Linked DNA regions of Caenorhabditis elegans. The protein of the gene in region 1 interacts with the protein of each later gene in a biochemical or structural test. Each region holds a gene or a part of one and is shown in the gene's direction. Other genes may lie near its edges.

Evidence for each region.
Region 2: the proteins of klc-2 (region 1) and unc-116 form a complex in vitro, tested with the Caenorhabditis elegans proteins (one study listed by BioGRID).

The regions. Positions count from the first base shown.
Region 1 is NC_003283.11:5,576,205-5,581,441, reverse strand, and holds klc-2 (Kinesin light chain), read left to right. Parts: upstream 1-1,937; coding exon 1,938-2,055; intron 2,056-2,107; coding exon 2,108-2,424; intron 2,425-2,475; coding exon 2,476-3,395; intron 3,396-3,445; coding exon 3,446-3,554; intron 3,555-4,180; coding exon 4,181-4,339; 3' UTR 4,340-4,705; downstream 4,706-5,237. UniProt on the Caenorhabditis elegans protein: Kinesin is a microtubule-associated force-producing protein that may play a role in organelle transport. The light chain may function in coupling of cargo to the heavy chain or in the modulation of its ATPase activity.
Region 2 is NC_003281.10:8,350,657-8,357,211, reverse strand, and holds unc-116 (Kinesin heavy chain), read left to right. Parts: upstream 1-2,037; 5' UTR 2,038-2,116; coding exon 2,117-2,155; intron 2,156-2,202; coding exon 2,203-2,298; intron 2,299-2,471; coding exon 2,472-2,633; intron 2,634-2,866; coding exon 2,867-3,164; intron 3,165-3,212; coding exon 3,213-3,442; intron 3,443-3,489; coding exon 3,490-4,815; intron 4,816-4,865; coding exon 4,866-5,157; intron 5,158-5,400; coding exon 5,401-5,405; 3' UTR 5,406-6,048; downstream 6,049-6,555. Other genes in the region: Putative RNA-binding protein R05D3.8, read left to right, coding at 46-225; R05D3.6 (Putative ATP synthase subunit epsilon, mitochondrial), read left to right, coding at 6,407-6,487. UniProt on the Caenorhabditis elegans protein: Microtubule-dependent motor protein required for organelle transport. Plays a role in endosome transport. Required for the transport of mitochondria along the axon of motor neurons. Involved in the nuclear migration of hyp7 hypodermal precursor cells.

The DNA.
Region 1 (5,237 bases):
TCTTCTGTTCATCATAAATCTAAACTGAAAAGTTTAAGACACTAATCCTGGAGCCGAATACGAAAAAGTGCTCGTGGAAGCTTTCAAGCTGGATACCATCATGAATTTGGCCGGTTCTACTATTCAGGCATATCGCCAGTAAGTTATATTTTTAATTTGAAATGAGAATTGGAATTTAGAGTGTTGAATCATTTTCTTATCACATGCATTACTCATCAAAAAATGTTTGAAAGTTATTTCCGCTAGGGCTGTAACAAAAAATGTACAGTACATTCTAAGCGGATACCCTAATTTTCAAAAAATTTCAATTTGCATCTACCGTAAAATAAAAATAAAAATCGAAATCTACTTTCCTAGTCCTCTAATTCAAAATTGCAAGATCTTATGACAAGTTTTCAGAAATAGTGAATATATGAATCAAAACTCTTTGCCCAAATTCTAATAATTCATGAGAAGTTTATGTTAATATGTTTTATTTTTTGGTTTTTATATTTTCTGAAATCCCACCTTTCTCTTGAGAAACAAAGCAATTTCGATACTTTTTTGCATATGAAGCTAAACAAATCCTAGATGTATTCTTCATAAAAACTCAGGTGTCCAAACATTGCAATTAACTATGAAAGGATGCATCTTTCCAATTGTTTCGCAATTCTTTCTCGCCTCCGTCTCTTGCTCTCTCATTTCCTCCATGTTGGACGGACGATCAATAGTTTCTATGTTGTCTCTAATATTTCTATGATCTCTCATCAGTGGCTGCGCACGTCTCGCTGTCTATTCGCCGACACGACGAGAGCGGGCTTTCGGTTAATACAACCAAACACTCTTTCCGAACAACGTTATGTTTTACTTGTCCACACTTTATTAGCATCTTTATGTTCAGAACCATTTCTTATGAGCTTTTGCAGGAGAGAAATTATTAGAAAGTTAAAATTTGGTTTCATTTCTGCTTATATTGCGAAATTTGTACCTATAGTGTTGCACATATTTAGCTTATCTTTGACATATTCCAAAAAGTTTCTCAGTTTTCTAAAAGTTTTTCCAAAATTGTTCTAGTGCAACTCAACCTAGCAAAATCAAAGAAATATATTAGTTCTACCACGAAATGCTATTGATTTTCAAAAATTATAGCGCATAGTGCAGCCTTGATTTTTTCAAATTAAAAATTTCAAAAACCGAGTAAATAAAAATTACAAATTTTTAAAAGAAAATATCAATCCACGATGATTTTTATTTTCTCTAAAACGTGTTGAACATTTGGAACATTTTTGCTTTATTTCAACTTATTTCAAAGCAACGTTTCGGTGTAAAATAAGTTTATCGTTATTTTGTGAAAATGTGGAATGTCATTTTAAAGGCACATGCGTATTTTCTCAGGGGGTCTCGCCACGATCTCCTGTATTTCAATAGCAAATGGCAGGGCTGTTATTTAAGACGCCCTCCTCAATCTTTGAGAGCTCATTTTGGCGTTTTTTTTAACTTCAGCCATAAAATTGAAACTGGATAATATTTACCTAAATAATAGATTTTCCAAATTCTTGCACCAAATAGATCTATGGTATAAAACTGTCAGGCTGATTTTCAAATTTTTGCATTTTTTAGAATTCCAAAGTGAGCAGTATTCATGGAAAAATATTTTTTGAATCTAGTTCTACGTTTTTGAGAGAATGCAAGATTTTAATTAATTTTTGTTGTGCCATACTTTGGCATTATTTACATTTAAAAGAAAAAAAGGGTTAATTTTTTCTGATAAATCTGAAATTAAAAAAAAAGACTATCGCAAAACTTATTGAACGACCTAATAGCTATGATCTACATAGATTCAACTGTTTTTACTCACTGAAAAAATTTTCTCGTTAGCTACCAACACTTCTCGAACTTCTTCCAATTACATTTAATAGATTTAAAATTTCAGGCGAAAAATCGAGTCGCTGGCGAAAATGTCAAACATGTCGCAGGACGACGTGACGACGGGCCTACGTACCGTTCAGCAGGGACTTGAAGCTCTTCGTGAGGAACACTCGACAATTTCGAATACTTTGGAGACTAGTGTCAAAGGTATGGCTTTTTTTACGACGAGTTGAACATTTACTAAAATTCAATCATTTAGGTGTGAAAGAAGATGAAGCTCCATTGCCGAAGCAGAAGCTTTCACAAATTAACGATAATTTGGATAAGTTGGTGTGCGGAGTTGATGAGACATCGTTGATGCTGATGGTATTCCAACTCACTCAAGGAATGGATGCTCAACATCAGAAATACCAAGCTCAACGGAGACGCTTGTGCCAGGAGAATGCGTGGCTTCGTGATGAGTTGAGTTCAACTCAAATCAAACTTCAACAGTCGGAGCAAATGGTTGCTCAATTGGAAGAGGAGAACAAGCATCTTAAGTATATGGCATCAATCAAACAATTTGATGATGGAACTGTAAGTTGAATTTTTCGAGGAGCATTCTTAACTTATTTTGTTTGTTTTCAGCAAAGTGATACTAAGACATCTGTCGATGTTGGACCACAACCAGTCACAAACGAAACTCTTCAAGAACTTGGTTTTGGACCAGAAGACGAAGAAGATATGAATGCTAGTCAATTCAACCAACCAACACCAGCCAACCAAATGGCGGCTTCTGCTAATGTTGGATACGAAATTCCAGCTCGTCTTCGCACACTTCACAACTTGGTCATTCAATACGCCTCCCAAGGTCGTTATGAAGTTGCAGTTCCATTGTGCAAGCAAGCTTTGGAAGATTTGGAGAAAACGAGTGGTCACGATCATCCAGATGTTGCCACAATGCTCAATATTTTGGCACTTGTCTACAGAGATCAGAACAAGTACAAAGAGGCTGCAAATCTTCTGAATGAGGCTCTCAGTATTCGTGAGAAATGTCTTGGAGAAAGTCATCCAGCTGTTGCCGCCACTCTCAACAATCTCGCAGTTTTGTTCGGAAAACGTGGAAAGTTCAAGGATGCTGAACCGCTTTGCAAGCGTGCTCTTGAAATTCGCGAGAAAGTTCTTGGAGATGATCATCCAGATGTGGCCAAGCAACTCAATAATCTTGCTCTTCTTTGCCAAAATCAAGGAAAGTATGAAGAAGTCGAGAAGTATTACAAGAGAGCTCTCGAAATCTACGAGAGCAAACTTGGACCTGATGACCCGAATGTGGCAAAGACCAAGAACAATTTGTCATCTGCTTACTTGAAACAAGGAAAATATAAGGAGGCTGAGGAGTTGTACAAGCAAATTCTCACCAGAGCTCATGAAAGAGAGTTCGGACAGATCAGTGGAGAGAATAAACCAATTTGGCAAATCGCTGAAGAACGAGAGGAGAACAAGCACAAGGGAGAAGGTGCAACTGCCAACGAACAAGCTGGATGGGCAAAAGCCGCCAAAGTTGATAGGTATTATGATTTTTATTAGAAAAAAATAAATTAAACAAAACTGATTCCAGTCCAACCGTCACAACAACTCTCAAGAACCTTGGAGCCCTTTACCGGCGACAAGGAAAATATGAAGCCGCCGAAACATTGGAAGATGTCGCCTTGAGAGCAAAGAAACAGGTATGTAATGATGTTTTTTCTGCATTCATGGCTTCTCTATCTAGCACGCTTTACTGCATTTAAAATACAAAAGTTCAGAAAAAAAATTTAGAAGTTAGATATTAATGTTGTAAAATGTTGTATGCGTCCCCGATACCCCAGTGACAAGAATTTGCTTCATATTTACATGTATTTTTGGAACTTAAAACATTGACAACAGTTGTTTCAAACCAGGGGAGTGCGTCAAATTTGCCGAATTTGCCGGTTGCCGAACTTGCCGGACACGGTAAATTTCGAAAATTGCCGCACACATCAAAAATTCGACAATAAAATTTTGACCAAAACTATGTTTCAAACTAACCCGAAAATTAGATGCTGCCTGAACAATGTCTTGCCAACTTTTGAACCAAAATTGGCAAATACTGAAATATTGCACAAATCTGAAGCTCATTCAAACGAATTGTTTTTTAAAATTAAAGTTTAAATTTAATACGAAGCATATTCTTGTCCTCCCCAAGCCCCCATCAATAACAATTCCAGTAACAAAAAAAAACACATAAAACGCTTATTTTTGTATTTTAGTGATAGTGATGTGCTTTAGAATTTGGTCACTCGTTTCCTCTTTTCAGTATTGTTTCCTCTTTCAGCATGAGCCATTACGAAGTGGAGCGATGGGCGGAATCGATGAAATGAGCCAGTCGATGATGGCTTCTACAATCGGTGGATCCAGAAACTCGATGACAACGAGCACATCTCAAACTGGATTGAAGAATAAACTAATGAATGCACTCGGATTCAACTCTTAAGAGCATCTCTTTGCAGCACTGACTGAAAACCGCTTATCGTTCTTGTATTAATAAGTGCTCGTTGATTCAAGTTCCAAATTCTGAAATTTTGTCTCAGATCTACGAAAACTTGCTTTTTTCTTCTTTCGTTGTGTTGTGCATGATTCTTTTTTTTTTGATTGATTTTTCTTTCTGCCCCATCCCCTCATTCACAAAATCTTGTTCATAAATAATAGGGTTGAATAATTGAATGTTTCCTTGTCCGCCCCCACCAACTTTTTGGTAAAGCTTTATATTGTCTGCTTCGAATTTTCTTTTCAAGCAAAAAAAAAAACATAATTATAACAAGCTGAAAAATCGTGTTGTTGTAAATAAAGGGTTTATTTTTGAATTCTGCTTGTTACAAGAAAAAGAAAACTTCAATTTCAGATGTCCGAATCTCGAAGAATGGAACGATCCGTTATGTATTGATTGTTGCTCGACATTGTACTCCGTCATCAAGCTTTACACTTCTTCGCAAAATTCCAAAAGTTTACAAGTTCTCATTTATTTATATGTATCAAGTTCTAATTAAACACTGCTTTTCTATTTTTGTTAGCTATTCGCATAATAACATTTTTTTTTAATTATAAAAATGTGAACCCGATTAAATTGGAAAAACGTTTCGAGAAAAATTATAATTGCAAAGATTCATGATATTTATTCAATAAGACTTGAAAAACATTTACCCTGATATTCAAAAAATTAACAAAAAACAACGGTCAAGTTGGTGATTATGGGAAGGGGTTTGTATTCTATGAAGAACACGGAGAGATTAACATGAGCGGTACCAAACCCTGGTACCAGGGCTTCCTGCTGGCAGGAAATTGTCAAATTGATAACCCATAATCTCCGGACCGAAGTGAAAACTTTAGTAGTC
Region 2 (6,555 bases), on another chromosome or scaffold:
ATTATCTTGTAAAACGTGTTTTAAAATATTGCATTACATTTTCAGCCTCCAAATCACACTGCTTATCTAACGCCGTCACGTCCCGTAACTTCTGTACATGCCTCATCATCTGCTTCATCAAATCACTATGATCCATCTGCAGCAGCAGGATATGCACCACTATATCATCAACCACCAGAATCAGATCCATTGTCTCAATGTGGCTATGGACCGAGAAAATGGTAGCTGTGATGATCAAACAAAACTCATATATCTCAAATTACGGTTTCACTTAATTCGAAGTTTACGAACATTGATTTTAAAAAATAAAATTGATTTATCTTCGAAGTTTCATTCTCTCGTAACTTCCTTTATTCTCTACTAGTGAGCGCAGTGAGCGAATGTTCTGTGAGTGTTTGAAGAGGCCGTCCGTTGTCCCTCTGACCGAGAATAAAACATTATACAAAATGAAGAGAACACAGGGAACCACGGATGTATCTCTGTGTCTCTTCACGATGCCAATACATTCCTTGTATCCCTTCGAATTTCTTTCTCCAACTCTTTCTACCACCCAATACTAAAGTCTTCCCTCGTCTCTTTTCCCGCCAAACGAATGAATGTTGTGAGTGTGTCTCTCCTCTCGTTTCACTCTTTTTCAATGAAGCTTTTGCACCGACCATCCTCTAGGTCCCACCACGAAAATCTACTGAACACAATACTCCCACCTGCAGTGTCTTTTCTCTCTTATCGTTCTTTTTCGCATCCGAATCGGTCTCCCCCGCCTTCCTTCACCATCTGCCGTATCGTGTCGTATTGGCCATTACTCATTGTCAATTTGATGACCATATTTGGTTTGAGTCTCCTTATTTGCCCTCGGATATCCTCATCTTGTTTAGTTTGTGTATTTATCTATGAAATTTATTTAAAACCGCATTTATCCATATGTTATTGCATAATATTGAAGCTAATATTCATTCCGAAAAGTTAAGAGACAAGTATCGTGGAGAAATGTTAGTTTTTGGATTTGCGATTTCAGTTTCACTTTGTCTTTCTTGTCACTCAGTAAACCCGTTCAGAATATACCCAGATTTAAACCAAATTAAAACCGTACAAGCCTATATTATGAAAAATTCTAATTTTGGGCAGATGTAAACCAAGATTGTCTAGATCCAAACTTAATTTGCATAGATTGCAAGTTTGAGTAGATGTAAACTGAATTTGTGTAGGTTTGTGTATTTCCAAATCGATTTTGTGTAGATCCAAACCAAATTTGTGCAGATAAATTCACAATATAGGCTTGTACGGTTTTAATTTGGTTTAAATCTGGGTATATTATGAACGGGTTTACTGAGCACTGCTGGATGGTGTTAATTTTATAGTATAAAATTTTGAAAATGTACGAGATTTTGCAAGTTGTTTTTAATTTTTAATTCTCGCGCATATACATAAAATGTCAAATATAAATAAGTAATTAAATAAGCATTGCTGAAAAAAAAAAGAAAACTGAAATTAAAAATTAATCTGACCGAAAATACGATAGGCAAACGTACGTAATTCGAAAAACCCAAGATTTCACGACAAATTGCCAACTAAAACATTTTTCCGCGCGGGAAAAACTTTTATTGTTTCCAGAAGTTTCCTGTTGTTTTGAAGCTATTATTTCAATTATAAAACATTTTCCGAACTCATTTTTCGAACAATTTAACCAAAAATGCATAAATTTGTGAAATTTGTGTGTGCCACGTTTGATCGACGCCAGTCTTTTTCTATTTCTCTATTTTCTGTGTGAAAATTTTGAATATTCAGTACAAACGTTGCAGTTTTTGTTATTTTGTTATCATTCCGTTGTCTATCCATAATCTATGAGCCTTTAGTTTATTTTTTGTCAAAGCCGCCCAATCAAACAAAACTCGCAGCTTCTGTGCATCGCGCACGAGACGAGTGATGAAATATTCCGAAATTTCGCAATGTTTTGCCGTTTCCTCCTTTCTCTATTTCTCTTGCATCTCGTCATCTTTTCTTGTTCTCTACTCAGCATATTGATTATACTTATTGCAGGCATTGTAAGGAGAAGCCGGGTAATTAATACGATAGGCGCCGTTACAAACCGCCAACTGGTGATCATTATTCTCTGAAAATGGAGCCGCGGACAGACGGAGCAGAATGCGGTGTCCAGGTATTAATTTTCCCCGCCTAGATTTTCCAATTTCATATTGTTTTCAGGTATTTTGTCGTATTCGGCCGCTCAATAAGACCGAGGAGAAGAATGCGGACCGTTTCCTGCCCAAATTCCCTTCCGAGGACAGTATATCGCTTGGGGTGAGTAATACAAAGGGGTCATAGGGAACAATTATGTCAACAGGGACGGGAAGCACGGGGGATGCAGGTGTGTCAATTCTCTCACATGACACATTCATCTGTTTGAAAAGTACACGAAAAGTGCAAAGTTGAATATATATATATATATCGATTGATTTGTTGGAATTTTTCAGGGAAAAGTATACGTGTTCGATAAAGTGTTCAAGCCGAACACCACGCAAGAGCAAGTGTACAAAGGAGCCGCTTATCACATCGTACAGGATGTATTATCCGGTTATAATGGAACAGTTTTTGCATATGGACAAACATCTTCCGGAAAAACACATACAATGGAGGTAGGAATTATGAAAACCTTGATAATTACGTAGAATGCGACAAAGACAATCAAGTTGTAATATCAACAGTGCAAATCTTTACTGATTAATGAAAAGAAAAGTTTGAGAACTAATTTTCAGCAGTTATTTCCGAAATCGAATGCCCGAAAGATTTTTGATAATTTTTACGTTTAAAATATTCGGCGCTCGATGAAATTAACAATATAATTTAATTATTTTCATATTTTTTACAGGGAGTAATCGGTGATAATGGCTTGTCGGGAATCATTCCACGTATCGTTGCTGACATCTTTAACCACATTTATAGTATGGACGAGAATCTTCAATTTCACATCAAAGTGTCCTATTATGAAATTTACAACGAGAAGATTCGAGATTTATTAGACCCCGAGAAGGTCAATTTGTCCATTCATGAAGATAAAAATCGAGTGCCATACGTGAAGGGAGCCACCGAACGGTTTGTTGGAGGACCCGATGAGGTTCTTCAGGCAATCGAAGATGGAAAATCCAACAGAATGGTTGCAGTTACGAGTGAGTAAACTTAAAATTAAACAAATTAACATGTGAACGAAATTTCAGACATGAACGAACATTCTTCTCGATCTCATTCCGTCTTCTTGATTACTGTGAAACAAGAACATCAGACAACAAAGAAACAGCTCACCGGAAAGCTTTATCTTGTTGATTTGGCTGGTTCTGAGAAAGTGAGCAAAACTGGAGCTCAAGGAACAGTTTTAGAAGAAGCCAAAAACATCAACAAGTCACTTACTGCACTCGGAATAGTTATTTCAGCATTGGCTGAAGGAACTGTGAGTTGTTTAAATTATGACCTTCTTAAAACGAATATTTATTTCAGAAATCTCATGTTCCATATCGTGATTCCAAACTGACTCGTATTCTTCAAGAATCTCTAGGAGGAAATTCCCGTACTACAGTTATTATTTGTGCTTCTCCGTCACATTTCAACGAAGCTGAAACTAAATCCACACTTTTGTTCGGAGCACGTGCGAAGACTATCAAGAATGTTGTACAAATCAACGAAGAGCTCACAGCAGAAGAATGGAAACGGCGATATGAGAAAGAAAAAGAGAAGAATACTCGATTGGCCGCCCTTCTCCAGGCAGCGGCTTTGGAACTTTCACGCTGGCGTGCTGGAGAATCAGTGTCTGAGGTTGAATGGGTCAATCTATCAGATTCTGCTCAAATGGCTGTGTCGGAAGTTTCTGGTGGGTCGACTCCACTCATGGAACGTTCGATTGCTCCAGCTCCTCCAATGCTAACTTCTACAACTGGCCCGATCACTGACGAAGAGAAGAAGAAGTACGAAGAGGAACGTGTCAAACTGTATCAGCAACTCGACGAGAAAGATGATGAGATTCAAAAAGTTTCGCAAGAGCTTGAGAAGCTTAGACAACAAGTTCTTCTCCAAGAAGAAGCTTTGGGAACTATGCGTGAAAACGAGGAGCTGATCCGTGAAGAGAACAACCGATTCCAAAAAGAAGCTGAAGACAAGCAGCAAGAAGGAAAGGAAATGATGACAGCTCTGGAAGAGATTGCTGTCAACTTGGATGTTCGACAAGCAGAATGCGAAAAATTGAAGAGAGAGTTGGAAGTTGTTCAAGAAGATAACCAGAGTTTGGAAGATCGAATGAACCAAGCAACATCACTCCTCAATGCTCATCTTGACGAATGTGGTCCAAAAATCCGTCATTTCAAAGAAGGAATCTACAATGTTATTCGTGAATTCAACATTGCTGACATTGCCTCTCAAAATGATCAACTTCCTGATCACGATCTTCTGAACCATGTCAGAATCGGAGTTTCAAAACTCTTCTCAGAATACTCTGCTGCGAAAGAGAGCAGTACAGCTGCCGAGCATGATGCTGAAGCGAAACTTGCAGCTGATGTTGCTCGTGTTGAATCTGGTCAAGACGCGGGTAGAATGAAACAATTGCTGGTGAAGGATCAGGCGGCAAAGGAGATCAAGCCACTAACAGATCGTGTCAATATGGAGCTTACAACGTTGAAGAATTTGAAAAAGGAGTTCATGAGAGTACTTGTTGCTCGATGCCAAGCCAATCAAGACACCGAGGGAGAAGATTCTCTCAGTGGACCAGCTCAAAAGCAACGAATTCAGTTCTTGGAGAACAATTTGGACAAGTTGACGAAGGTTCACAAGCAGGTTTGTCGTTTTTATTCTCATTTTGATTATCTTAAAACTTGAATTTTCAGCTTGTTCGCGACAATGCCGATTTGCGCGTTGAACTGCCAAAGATGGAAGCTCGTCTTCGTGGTCGTGAAGATCGCATCAAAATATTAGAAACTGCTCTTCGTGATTCGAAGCAACGTAGTCAAGCAGAACGAAAGAAGTATCAACAAGAAGTTGAACGAATCAAGGAAGCTGTTCGACAACGTAACATGCGACGAATGAATGCTCCACAAATTGTGAAGCCAATCCGTCCAGGACAAGTGTATACGTCTCCGTCAGCAGGAATGTCACAAGGAGCTCCAAATGGCTCAAACGGTGTGTTTAGTCAGACATCTACACCTTCAACATCTCGCAATCAGATACCATCAAAAATGACTATTTCACAGTTGATTGCAGAAATTTAAGATTTTTTTAAAAATTCTTTAGTGCTCATGTAATTTTTCACAAGTAATTATACTATGAATTAGAATTAGAGTGAGTGTTTCTTTTTCTTCCTACCGTATTATCAAATTTAACAGTCTTTTGTCCGTCCATTTTTCACTAATCAAAGTTTTTCAGCATAATGTCTCCCAACAACAACATCAACTCATCGTCTTCTTTGATCCAATCAATACACTGAAGACTGACATTCAAATGCTTCTCTATCTCTCTTCTTTTCCCGGCTTTGTGATATACTTTCGATGGGCTTTTCTGTTTATTTTAAAATCTAGTAACTTATACAATTACGCGGCTTCTGGAAGTTTCAACAAAAATATCTTCATTTGGTTGGTTGTGTCTCCCCATTTCGTTCCTTGGCTTCTCGTCTTCCATGTAGAATACAAAACTTCAAAAGCTAAAAGTATTTAAAGCTTCCCTCCACCCCCACCCAAATTGCCTTTTTCCGCCTTTTTGTTCTAATAGTCTGTTTCTATACGATTTTCCTGTTTCAGTTTTACTAATCTGACACGAGGTTTTGTCTGGTTCTTCCCCCCGTCACCCACCAACACTCCTATGATTGTTTTTTGCATGCGTTTGAGTGTCTTTAAAGCTTGCTTGCTAAATCCCCCTATCATTCTTCATAAGAAATCAACTTGTTTCGTTTCTGCACAATTCGGCCCCCAAATCCCCGCACATCCCAATTGCGTAATTCATTTTTTTGTATCTTTTGCTCTTCCAGTAAATAAAATTATTATTTTTTCTGTTATTAAATAAACGTTTTGCTGTTTTTTAAACAAGATTTTACAATAACATACGAGCAAGAATAACCAACAAACGCATGAGCTTAACTGATTAGTGTTCTGGAGTGAGAATATCATTGAAAACTATGAGAAATAAGTTTAATGTAATTAAATATTTATTGATAGTTTTGTTTCCATTTTGGACCAACTAATTATTATTCAGTAACTTTCGAATATTATCAAGTTTCCTGTTGAACTTTGACTGTATAAAGTTTTTATTTTTTATTTTACAGATTTCTCTAGTCTAAAGGTTGTTCTCCATACCTTTCAATTTACTTCCTTTTTCTGAAAATTTTATTATTTTATAGTATAAATTAAGGTTAAATAACTTTCCCCCAAAATCAAAAATGGTCGCCTGGAGAGCTGCTGGACTCAACTACGTCCGTTATTCACAAATCGCCGCACAAGTCGTTCGTCAGTGCACCAAGGTTTGTTGGACCCTTAAATAACAATATATGCCCCTTTAAGTGGTACAGTAACCCGTTCCGTTAATTTT